Linked DNA regions of Macaca mulatta. The protein of the gene in region 3 purifies or fractionates together with the protein of the main gene of each other region. This does not show direct contact. Links are inferred from orthologs where the notes say so. Each region holds a gene or a part of one and is shown on either strand. Other genes may lie near its edges. The genes, in order: LSM12, PABPC4 and ATXN2.

The links.
Region 1: the proteins of ATXN2 (region 3) and LSM12 purify together in Homo sapiens (affinity purification with mass spectrometry; 4 studies listed by BioGRID and IntAct, with this or other methods). This does not show direct contact. The link is inferred for Macaca mulatta from reciprocal best matches to the Homo sapiens genes ATXN2 and LSM12.
Region 2: the proteins of ATXN2 (region 3) and PABPC4 purify together in Homo sapiens (affinity purification with mass spectrometry; 4 studies listed by BioGRID and IntAct, with this or other methods). This does not show direct contact. The link is inferred for Macaca mulatta from reciprocal best matches to the Homo sapiens genes ATXN2 and PABPC4.

The regions. Positions count from the first base shown.
Region 1 is NC_133421.1:68,427,494-68,431,618, reverse strand, and holds the start of LSM12 (protein LSM12), read left to right. Parts: upstream 1-1,183; 5' UTR 1,184-1,195; coding exon 1,196-1,319; intron 1,320-4,125. UniProt on the Homo sapiens protein: Nicotinic acid adenine dinucleotide phosphate (NAADP) binding protein. Confers NAADP sensitivity to the two pore channel complex (TPCs) by acting as TPC accessory protein necessary for NAADP-evoked Ca(2+) release.
Region 2 is NC_133406.1:201,215,869-201,220,126, forward strand, and holds the start of PABPC4 (polyadenylate-binding protein 4), read left to right. Parts: upstream 1-1,379; 5' UTR 1,380-2,217; coding exon 2,218-2,410; intron 2,411-4,258.
Region 3 is NC_133416.1:118,688,508-118,692,151, reverse strand, and holds part of ATXN2 (ataxin-2), read left to right. Parts: intron 1-1,200; coding exon 1,201-1,505; intron 1,506-3,467; coding exon 3,468-3,531; intron 3,532-3,644. UniProt on the Homo sapiens protein: Involved in EGFR trafficking, acting as negative regulator of endocytic EGFR internalization at the plasma membrane.

The DNA.
Region 1 (4,125 bases), on a different chromosome or scaffold from region 3:
GGGGGAGAGGGCAAAAAGGAAGAAGAGGAAGTGTCTTGACTTCTAAGAATAATGGATGACTAAAGGGGAACTACCATTTATTAAAGACCTAGTACATGCCATGCACATATACACGTTATCGCATTTAAACCTCCTAACTATGAGGTAGGTATTATTATCTAACACAGTATAGCAGTAAATAGCACTGTCCTTGTAAATAGGTAGACTGTTTTTGCTAGTTGTGGAACCGTGGACAAGTTTAGTCTAAAACGTAGTTTCTGTAAAAGGAGGACATTGATACCTACCTCAAAGGGCTGTTAGATGCTCAAGAAGTGACAATACAAATGCCTATGAAGAAACAGGATCAGGTAATTTGCTTACTCAAGGTCAGGTGATTTAGTAATAGGTTGACCTGGGATTCTGGTTCCGGCTTATCTCACTCCACAGCCAATGTTCTTTCCACTATCACTCTCTAGTTACAATCATCTTTTTTTTTTTTTTTTGAGACGGAGTCTTGCTCTATTGCACAGGCTGGAGTGCAGTGGCACGATCTCGGCCCAGTGCAACCTCCGCCTCCCACGTTCGAGCGATCCTCCAGCCTCAGTCCTCCTAGTAGCTGGGATTACAGGCACGCGCCACCATACCCGGCTAATTTTTGTATTTTTAGTAGAGACAGGGTTTCACCATCTTGGCCAGGCTGATCTCGAACTCCCGACCTCAGGTGGTCCACCTGCCTCGGCCTCCCAAAGTGCTGGTATTACAGGCGTGAGCCACCGCTCCCGGCCGTTATAATCATCTTGTCCAAGTATTGTTAAGTCCTCTGAGGCTCTGATTCCTTATATGCAAAATGGGGTTAATATATTTTATAAAATTCATTCATTAAACTCTTGTGTGGAAGGTGTGCATATAATGGAGACTGCAGCTCTCTCCTCTTTCCCCCTTTCATTCCACGTAGGTCATTTATCCTTAACTTCTAAAATGGACTCTACAAGCATTTAACCGAGCGGACGCAGCTACACAAATATTTTTCAGATTCCCCTTTATTTCCTCTTCTTCCCTAGTCCACCTAGGCTCCCTAGCCACCCAGCGTCAGACCACGCCCCGGCGTGTGACGCAAGCACGCTCCGTGCGTCGCGTCGCGTCGCGGCGCTCACTAGGGGCCCGGCTTTCGCCCGCTGCTGCCGCCGCCGCCGCCGGCCGCGGCTGCACTCCCAAGATGGCGGCTCCTCCGGGCGAGTACTTCAGCGTTGGGAGCCAGGTGTCGTGCCGGACGTGCCAGGAGCAGCGGCTGCAGGGCGAGGTGGTAGCCTTCGACTACCAATCCAAAATGCTGGCTTTAAGTATCCTTCCCTGCGTGAAGCCCGAGTCCGGGCCGGCGTATAGGTGCGGTGGTCGGGGGGTGGGGGACGACGGCGGCGGCTGGGGCTCTCTCCGGGCCTAGGGGCGACCGGCTACCGCGGCGCCCGGGGCGCATGCGCATGGCCCTGAGTTCCCCTCCCCCTCCCGCGGGCCCTTCGGTCAGCTTTGGGGATCCTGTCTCCCCTTGCGGGAGCTGGGGCTTTACCGAGGATCAGTGGGTGGAGGAGGGCTTGACACGGGGATGGCTTTTCGGGAAGAACGTTATGAGAGGGGACACAGTGATTAGGAGAGGGGGTGGTGTTGGGAGGGGGCTGGTGGATTGGAGCCCGGATGGAAAGGAGGAGCGGGTGAAATATTATGGGGAGGGATGTTTAGGGTAAGGAACTGCTGGTAGGGCAAAGGTATAGAATTTAGGAGGGCATGTGCACTGATGGGATTTCGTCCAAGGAAGGGCGGTGGAATGGTGACCAAATTGGTCCTTGCCTGTTTTGGGGGAGAGTAAGTGCAGGGCAGAGTTTGTATCTGAACTGGGGATAGTGGCTTGTTTCGCTGATGCGTGTGTATGTGTGGTGGTGGGGGGGCTGTTCTGACTTTTAGGCTTCTCGGTCATTTGGAAATCGCTGTTTGGGGGATGTTTGCATTGGAAACCTGTTCCAGAGAGGGCTTGCCGGGGCTTATGTGGGTTGGGGATGTGTGAGTTACAGGTGAAAGAGTGAAGTTCTCATGCTGCCTTGATCAGTCCAGCACATGGAGTCCTTTTACGTAGTAGTAGCAGCCTCCCTTTTGAAAGCAGCAATGTTAAATTGATTGGAAAAGGTGGCCTGCTTCTTTGGGGTGGGAATGACTTCTGAATTACTCCAGGAAACTCAGTCTTGGAAACGAAACGCTTCTTGTTGGGATAAATGTGCCACAGCTTCCCCTTTTATGGGAGCTACAGGTGGGTTTATTGGAATCTTGAAGGAGTAATTTTTTATGGTATCTTTTTTTTTTTTTTAAAGATGGAGTCTCGCTCTGTTCCTAGGCTGGAGTGCGGTGACGTGATCTTGGCTCACTGCAGCCTCCGACTCCCTGGTTCAAGCGATTCTCCTGCCTCAGCCTCCGGAGTAGCTGGGATTATAGGCACGCGCCACCACGCCCAGCTAATTTTTGTATCTTTTTTTTTAACAGAGACGGAGTATCACCATGTTGGGCAGGATGGTTTCGAACTCCTGACCTCGTGATCTGCCCGCCTCGGCCTCCCAAAGTGCTGGAATTACAGGCCTGAGACACCGCCCGGCTTTGTTTTTTTTTTTTTGTTTGAGACGGAGTTTCACTCCTGTTGCCCAGGCTGGAGTGCAGTGGCTTGATTTGGGCTCACTGCAACTTCCGCCTCCCAGGTTCAAGCGATTCTCCTGCTTCAGACTCCCTAGTAGCTGGGATTACAGGCATGCATCACCACACCCGGCTGATTTTGTATTTTTTTTTTTTAGTAGAGACGGGGTTTCTCCATGTTAGTCAGGCTGGTCTCAGACTGCTGACCTCAGGTGATCTGCCTGCCTTGACCTCCCAGATTGCTGGGATTACAGACGTGAGCCACCGTGCCCGGCCATGGCATCTTTCAAAATGAAGTTTCCTACTGAGTCTGCTGCCTTTGAGTGGCAAGTATTTTAATTCATTTAACCACTGCTTGTAGATTTCTAGTTTAGGAAGATGTCCTTTGAAACTAATTATAGTAAGAGTAGTTGCTTTTTTTTTTTTTTTGAGACAGAGTCTTGCTCTGTTGCCCAGGCTGGAGTGGTGCAGTGGTGGGTGGTGCGATCTTGGCTCGCTGCAAACTCCGCCTCCCAGGTTCGTGCCATTCTCCTGCCCCAGCCTCCTGAGTAGCTGGGACTACAGGCACCCGCCACGACGCCCAGCTAATTTTTTGTATTTTTAGTAGAGACAGGGTTTCACTGTGTTAGTCTGGATGGTCTCGATGTCCTGACCTCGTGATCCGCCCGCCTCGGCCTGCCAAAGTACTGGTATTACAGGCGTGAGCCACTGTGCTAACAATTGTTGCTTTTTCAAAAAATGAGAGGTTACACCTGGAAGAAATAAGACCTTTTACATTAGTGGTTTGGTTGGAAGGGTCTTGAAACTAGGAAATACTCTTTTTTTTTTTTTTTTGGGGGGGGATGGAATCTCACTCTGTTACCTAGGCTGGAGTGCAGTGGCATGATCTCAGCTCACTGCAACCTCTGGCTCCTGTGTTCAAGTGATTCTCCTGCCTCAGGCTCCCGAGTAGCCAGGATTACAGGCATGTGCCACCACACCCGGCTAACTTTTTTTTAGTAATGACGGGATTTCGCCATGTTGGCCAGGCTGGTCTCGAACTCCTGACCTCATGTGATTCGCCTACCTCAGCCTCCCAAAGTGCTGGGATTACAGGCGTGAGCCATTGCGCCTGGCTGAATTACTCAATTTTTAGTTGACATACAGTAGGCTCTTAAATGTTTGGAGAATGAATGTGTGAATGAATGAATGGATTAACTGGCTGGATCACCTTGGGTGAATTTCCTTTCCAGTGTGTAGTTTTCTCCTTTGCAAAATGGGAAAGCTCACATCTGAAAGAGTAAAAAGAACACTGTGCAGATACAGAGTATTATAGGAAGAACAGAAAGGTCTAGCTCTTTTGTCTGACTCGTAGGTTTAAGACAAACGCATTAAATCTGTGTTATGCCTCCCCATAAAGCCAGTAGAGAGAAGGTGACAGAACTCCTTTGGAAGCTTCCAAGGATTTGGGCAGGAGGAAGGTGACAGGCAGAGATT
Region 2 (4,258 bases), on a different chromosome or scaffold from region 3:
TTTGGTTGTCACAGTGATGGCAAAGTTGGTTCCTGGCACTTATGGAAGAAGGGATGCTATATATCTTGCAATGTGTGTGGACAGTCCCATATAACATAGTCCCATAAAGTGATATGACCTTTTTTTTTTTTTTTTTTTTTTGAGGCGGAGTTTCACTCTTGTTGCCCAGGCTGGAGTGCAATGGCATTATCTCAGTTCACCGCAACCTCTGCCTCCACGGTTCAAGCGATTCTCCTGCCTCAGCCTCCTGAGCAGCTAGGATTACAGGGGTTTCTTCATGTTGGTCAGGCTAGTCTCAAACTCCCGACCTCAGGTGATCCACCTGCCTCGGCCTCCCAAAGTGCTAGGATTACAGGCTTGAGCCTGGCAAGTGATATGACTTTCAAATGACCTGCCAGACCCTGATGCAGATGAAAAGTCTTTTTATAATTATCCAAGCGTATAAGAAACTTTAAACATAGGAGTAGAAAGTATTTCTGGGCCCTTAAATACAAACTAAATGTCCGGGAATGCCACCAGCATGTCAATAGAAGGGATGCTTGTGTTTGGTTTCATTGAAGCTTTACCAAAATGTGCTCATCTTTTCAGAAAATCCCATCACCCATGGATACTGCTTGCATTTCCAGCTCTTGACGATTCTACCTCTAGGCCAACAGTATTCTGAAAACTTCACAAACATTTACCTATTGGACCACCTATTACTTTAACTTATTTTATGTCACCTTCATTTCACAATTAGGCTTACTATCTAATTTTTTTTTTTTTTTAGATGGAGCCTCGCTTTGTTGCCCAGGCTGGAGTGCCGTGGCTCAATCTCGGCTCACTGCAAGCTCCGCCTCCCGGGTTCAAGCGATTCTCCTCCCTCAGCCTCCTGAGTAGCTGAGATTACAGGCGCGTGCCACCACGCCCGGCTCATTTTTTGCATTTTTAGTAGAGACTGGGTTTCACCTTGTTAGCCAGGATGGTCTTGATCTCCTAACGTCATGATCCACCCACCTCGGCCTCACAAAGTGCTGGGGTTACAGGCGTGAGCCACTGCGCCCGGCCCCATACCATTTAATTTTAAACCTCATGCGTGTGTGCGAGTTAAATGGCTTCTAGGTTCCATTCCCGGGTGATGGGTAGGAGGGTCTTAAGATTCATTGGTTATAGAAAGGGGCCCTGGGGGTCTCCTGCAACCGCGAGCTTAGGCGGTCCTCCGCGCGCCAGGGGTCGCTGTGGCGCCGCGCGGCCGCGCCGGGTCGCTCTCGCGTGGCCGCCCCGCCTCGGGCCCCCGGGCCGAGTGGGCGGGCACGACTGCGCCCAGGTCGCGAGGCGCCCTTCGACCAGCAGCGCCCGGGGCGGGCGGGTATAAATGGAGCGGTGGCTCCCTCGGCCGCCTCTCTCCGCCCCGGGTCGCTGCCGCCTGCGCCGCTTTCGGGCTCCGCAGCCTGAGGAAAAAAAGAGAAAAAGATAAAAAAAAATCCGAAAACGCTTCAAAATCCTGAAAAAAAAAAAAAGGAAAAGAAAAAGCGAATCCTCCTCGGAGAACCCGCGGGGAAGTCACTTTCGCACGCTTCCGGCCTGCCCCGCGCCCGCCGCCGCCGCGCTTGGCGTCCGTCGGTCTCCGTCCATCGGTCCGGGGGTGAGCCGCCCGCCCGGCCCGTCGCGCCCTCCCCACTCTCGGGCCCGAGCCCCGCGCCGGCCCCGGCGCACCACGTGTCCGCGCTGCCCTTCGCCGCCCGCCCGGGGCTCGCCGAGTCGGCGCCCACAAAGATTTGGTTTCCCTCTGCCCCGGCGGTTGTAATCTTAAACCGCCGGAGCCCGAGGCCTATATTTATAGAGAAACGCGTGTCCCCGGGGCCGCCGTGGGTAGCGTCCGGTCGCCTCTTAAAGGATTTTTACCGTTCGGAAGGGGATTCCCCGTTTAATTTTTTTCCTACTTTGATTTTTTGAAATTTGGAGCTTCGCACCAGGACCGCGGAGAAGTGCAAAGTCGTGGGGAGGGCCGTATTGTGCGGAGAGCCTTTTGTCTGCGGTGCCGCGGCCGTGGGAGCCGGCCCCCGCCTCCCGTTTCCGTCCCATCTCCGAGCCCGCCGACTCCAGCTCGTCCTCGCCGCCCCGGTGCCACCTGTGAGCCGCGGCGCGGGCCCGGGCTCTGAGGGCGCCCCTTTTGTCCTGCGGCGGGCCCGATAAGAAGTCCTCCTGGCGGGGCTCGGGGTGGTGGGGGGCGGGGAGATGAACGCTGCGGCCAGCAGCTACCCCATGGCCTCCCTGTACGTGGGCGACCTGCACTCGGACGTCACCGAGGCCATGCTGTACGAAAAGTTCAGCCCCGCGGGGCCTGTGCTGTCCATCCGGGTCTGCCGCGATATGATCACCCGCCGCTCCCTGGGCTATGCCTACGTCAACTTCCAGCAGCCGGCCGACGGTGAGTAGAAGCTGTGCCCACACGTGCGTGGGAGCCCGGCGGACCCCGGGAGTCGTCTTCTGGCAGGGCCCTCCTGCCAAGGAGGGCAGCATCACGACAGCATGTTGCCACCGAAGCTTGGAGCAGGGTGCAGAGATTGAGAACGCAGACCTGGCATCAGATGACTCGAGTTTCAATCTTGTTTCTACCACTTGCTAACTGGGTGACCTTGGGCTACTTACTGGTGTTGCTGGTAGTAGGGTTGGAAACCAAGGAAACTGTAAAACAGGATTAGAGTGAAGCCACTGGCATTCCACTGTGTGTGGTCCTTGTCAGTGGGGCTGGGCTGTTACAGACCCTTGCTTGTGCCCTTCACAGGCTGGCCAAAAAGGAGGGACGTTTGAAACACAATTCCCGCAAAAGTTCTACATTGTAGAGTTCCTGCCCGCTCTGCCACCTTTACTAACCTTGACTACCTGATGTTGTGCTGATAAAGGATGGGTCAGGGCAGGCAGGAAGCAGGGGGAAGGTTTCTGTGCGTTAAACTAGCAGAGATTTAGGTTAGTGCCACAGGAGCTGCGTGTGCCAGGCCAGCTCCTTAGTCTGTGTGTTTGCCACTGGAGTGGAGAAGTGCTTTGCGCTGGACAAATGGTATCCAGGCTCTGTGCTGTAAAGAGTGTTGTGGAGGTAGTTTGGGGAAGCGTCACTTGAAAATCTGGTGGCATTTGTCACCTCAGCTGTAACAGTGGTTTGCACTCGTCAGAGCCCTTTTACTTCATTTAATCTGAAGAAAATGGGACTCCTGAGAAGGAAAAGGAATGCAAAAAGTTGGAAACCAAGTTGGGACTCCCAGCACAGTGCTCTGCCACCTCAGATTGTGGCCTTAGCATGGAGAGAGGTATGTTGCAGGCGTGGCAGGAGTGAGGCCAAAGGAAATCTGATCAGAGGCTGCACGTGACTCCAGATTAGAAGGGAACAACTGCAGAGATCATTACTGGGAGAAACAAGCCATGCTATGGCAAAGGATCTCCAGGTCGCTAGTTTTGAGGTCCCCACTTTGTTTTCTGTCTGAGGCCCAGAGTTACTACTTGCCCAGGTTGCAGCTGAGACCAGAGAATTGGACATGTTAAGAGGAACTAGGTATTGCTACCGTCAACCCAGTATGCTCCAAGCTGAGTTCTGTCTATGGCTATAGGAGCGCAAAGAAGGTAGCTGAGTGTGGTCTTTTTAAGGGATAATGTACCACATTAGCTGTTGTCTGCCTTCTTGACTTTTGAACAAAAGTCATGTCACTTAGAGATAGCAGAAGCCATTGGTCAGTGTGTCTGCCAACACATACTTCTGCAGGACTTCTCCCTGCTATAAATAAGTGCAGCCAGATTTGTCAGACTAAGCCGGCTTGCCTTGTGCAGTGCTGTCTGGAAATAGACGAGGAGCTGTGTTGAAATGGGCTCCTTTACTGCTAATTAATGAAATAGTTTGCGATCCCAGCTATCTATCTCTGATCGCCATCACAAGCAAACTCCTCCTTTCCTGGACTGTTCCTGACTTGGATCTGTCTTGTCATCTCCCCTTTTCCCAACTGCCCCCCATACAGATGAGCCCACCTTCTGAAGGGGGTGGGGAAGTTTGTTGGAAATAATGAGTGAAAATAAATTCTCCTGGTTAAAGAAACAGTTGAGCTTGTGGAGCGTCAGAGTTGGGGAATTTTGTCCCCCCCCTTAAGTGAGATGTTGCCTTGAGGCAAGGAGCAGATTCCACTGCTCTGACCCTGTCTAAATCCCCTCATGGAGGAGGTTCTGGGTAATGTCACCGATAGGAGATGTCGTCACAGCCTTAAGGAAAAGTGGCCACCAGATCTGGGGATCC
Region 3 (3,644 bases):
CCCAAAATGCTAGGATTATAGGTGTTAGCCACTGCACACAGCCCTGAACATAGCTTTTAAGTTCCTTTATTGTCATATTCCTTTTGGCAAGTCTATCATTTTCTGACTCACTTGTACATGTGTGTCCCACCCTTGGTCCAGCCATTGGTGCTTTGCTTTACTTCTTTATTTTTGTTATTTATTTTATTTTATTATCATTATTATTTTTTAATGAGAACAGGGTATCACTATGTTGCTCAGGCTGGTCTTGAACTCCTGAGCTCAAGCAGTCTGCTTGCCTCAGCCTCCCAAAGTGCTGGAATTACAGTGATGAGCCACTGTGCCTGGGTCATTGGTGCTATCCTTTTACTTTTTTTTTTTTTTTCCGAGACGGAGTCTCGTTCTGTCACCCAGTCTGGAGTGCAGTGGCGTGATCTCGGCTCACTGCAAGCTCTGCCTCCCATGCTCACACCATTCTCCTACCTCAGCCTCCCGAATAGCTGGGACTACAGGCGTCCGCCGCCATGCCCGGCTAATTTTTGTATTTTTAGTAGAGACGGGGTTTCACCGTGTTAGCCAGGATGGTCTCGATCTCCTGACCTCGTGATCTGCCTGCCTCAGCCTCCCAAAGTGCTGGGATTACAGGCATGAGCCACTGCGCCCAGCCCCCATTGGTGCTATTCTTTTATGTGATAGAGCCATCTTCTCTCTTTTCTTTGGATTTTTAAACATATTCCTCCTTTTACTTAGACTATTCTCCATCCCAAACACCTCTCCTAAACTTCTTTCACACCTTAGACTAGCTGAAACTTCCATTAAGAAACCTTTCTTTTTTATAGGTTGTTTTTTCTATAGAATCTCTTAGCATTTACTCATTTTGTTGTGAAGTGTCTGATCTTATTTAGATGACAAGTATAGGAGGATAGAAATTTTTTCATATTTTTCTCACCCAGCAAGCACAATTTCTGACATGTGGTAGGCATTCAGTAAATATTGAACTTTAGAGGCTAAGACATTTGAGTGCTTTGGTAACTGTGGTTGTGCTATATAGGTATTCTGTTATTGTTACTTTATAGTAAAAGCATTACTCTTAAAGTATGAAAAAAGCCTTATTCAAAACATTTCATGCATATAGTTAATATTACTTTGCTTGTGCTCATGGCAAAAATGGATTACTAAAGTTATTTAAGATATTTAAGTATAATTGTTTCCTTTATTTAGTTACAGCCAAGTTCTACTTCTGAATCTATGGATCAACTACTAAACAAAAATAGAGAGGCAGAAAAATCAAGAGATTTGATCAAAGACAAAATTGAACCAAGTGCTAAGGATTCTTTCACTGAAAATAGCAGCAGCAACTGTACCAGTGGCAGCAGCAAGCCGAATAGCCCCAGCATTTCCCCTTCAATACTTAGTAACACGGAGCACAAGAGGGGACCTGAGGTCACTTCCCAAGGGGTTCAGACTTCCAGTCCAGCATGTAAACAAGAGAAAGATGATAAGGAAGAGAAGAAAGACGCAGCTGAGTGAGTAAACCTGGAACTTAGACCATCCTGTTACTCAGTTAATTTTTTTTTTTTTTTTTTAAAGGCATTTAGGTCCTTCCAACTGTGAAGAATCCATCTGGACTTTTAGACTGCTTCATACATTGCCCTTAGTTTACAAACAGCTAGTCCAAACAAATGACATCTTAAGTAAATTAGGTTATTGCACCCTGTGCTACTCTTGTTCTTCCCCTTTTTTGCACCCCAGGGCTAGAAAAACAAGGCATAAATTAAGAAAAGTTTTTCTGTAAATGAACAGGAGTTGAAAAATTATCAGTTCAGGAGACCTATCTTTACTGGATTCCACTCATTAGTCACCCTCACTGTGCTGCTAGGATGAAAAACTGCCACTGTCAAGGAGAGAAGCATGCGATGCTTCTACTTGGAATTCAAAATATTTTTCATCAGAAACAGTGTTTTAGTTAATGTTTAGATTTGTTAAAATAGACTTAATTCTGCACATTCCATATATTTGTTAAATGGACTTTCAGGGGCTAACCTCAGAACTTAACTACCATTGACTTAGGTGTTCTGGGTACCAAACAATCCAGTTAAAGCTAAAGTTTTGGAATGTAGCTTATTGATAAATTGGGGACTGCTTATTCTTGATTTGAGGCAAATTTTTTTTAGAGCCATGATTTTCTGCAGGTATGTTATGTAGATAATATCTTCTCACATAAAAATTACTTCATGCTAGAATATTGGTATGTTGACTGGTGGCTCACACCTATAATCCCAGCACTCTGGGAGGCCGAAGCAGGTAGATTACTTGAGGTTAGGAGTTGAAGACCAGCCTGGCCAACATGGTGAAACCCTGTCTCTACTAAAAATACAAAAATTAGCCAGTCATGGTGGTAGGTGCCTATAATCCCAGCTACTCAGGAGGCTGAGGCAGGAGAATTGCTTGAACCCGGAAGGTGGAGGCTGCAGTGAGCCGAGATCATGCCACTGCACTCCAGCCTGGGTGACAGAGCGAGACTCTGTCTCAAAAAGTAATAATAATAAAAGAATACTGGTATGTTAAGAAGTGCTTTTAAGGATATTTTATAAGTAGCTACTGTCTTTTCAGCTCAAGTGTTTGTTGATTGGCCAGGCGTGGTGGCTCACGCCTGTAATCCCAGCACTTTGGGAGGCTGACTCAGGCAGATCACTTAAGGTCAGCCTGGCCAAGATGGTGAAACCCCATCTCTACTGGGGAAAAAAAAAAAAAAAAAAAAAAAAATTAGCTGGGTGTGGTGGCAGTCGCCTGTAATCTCAGCTACTCAGGAGACTCAGGTAGGTGAATTGCTTGAACTGGGGAGGCAGAGGTTACAGTGAGCCAAGATTGCACTGCTGCGCTCCAGCCTGAGCAACAGAGTGGGACTCTGAAGGAGAAAATAAAGTATTTTTTGATTGCCTTTGAGAGGAGCAGTTGTATATTACTCAGATTTTTAAAAAATTGTTCTTTTATGACTATATTCTTTAAGGGATTAAGGAATTGGCAATATAAGTGCGTATGTTTCAATAAAGAGGATTAGTGATCTTCTAGTGAGAACAGTTTAAATCTATGTTTAGCAGTGTTTCTTTTTTTTTCTTGAGACGGAGTCTCGCCCTGTCGCCCAGGTTGGAGTGCAGTGGTGCGATCTCGGCTCACTGCAAGCTCTGGCTCCCGGGTTCACGCCATTCTCCTGCCTCAGCCTCCCGAGTAGCTGGGACTACAGGCGCCACCACCACGCTCGGCTAGTTTTTTGTATTTTTAGTAGAGACGGGGTTTCACCATGTTAGCCAGGATGGCCTCAATCTCCTGACCTTGTGATCCGCCCGTCTCGGCCTCCCAAAGTGCTGGGATTACAGGCTTGAGCCACCGCGCCCGGCCTAGCAGTTTTTTTTAAATTGTCAGGTATGGAAGATTTTAGAACAACATAAAGTCCATGTAGATTTCACTGGCCTTTTTTTTTTTTTTAGGCAAGTTAGGAAATCAACATTGAATCCTAATGCAAAGGAGTTCAACCCACGTTCCTTCTCTCAGGTAGGTTTATTACTTTCTTTGAGGTTATTTAGTCCCCTAAAAAGAAAAATTAGTAGTCCTTCTTCCATACCTGTCATCTGAATTTTGTTTTAGTATGCTAAAACAACCTTCTT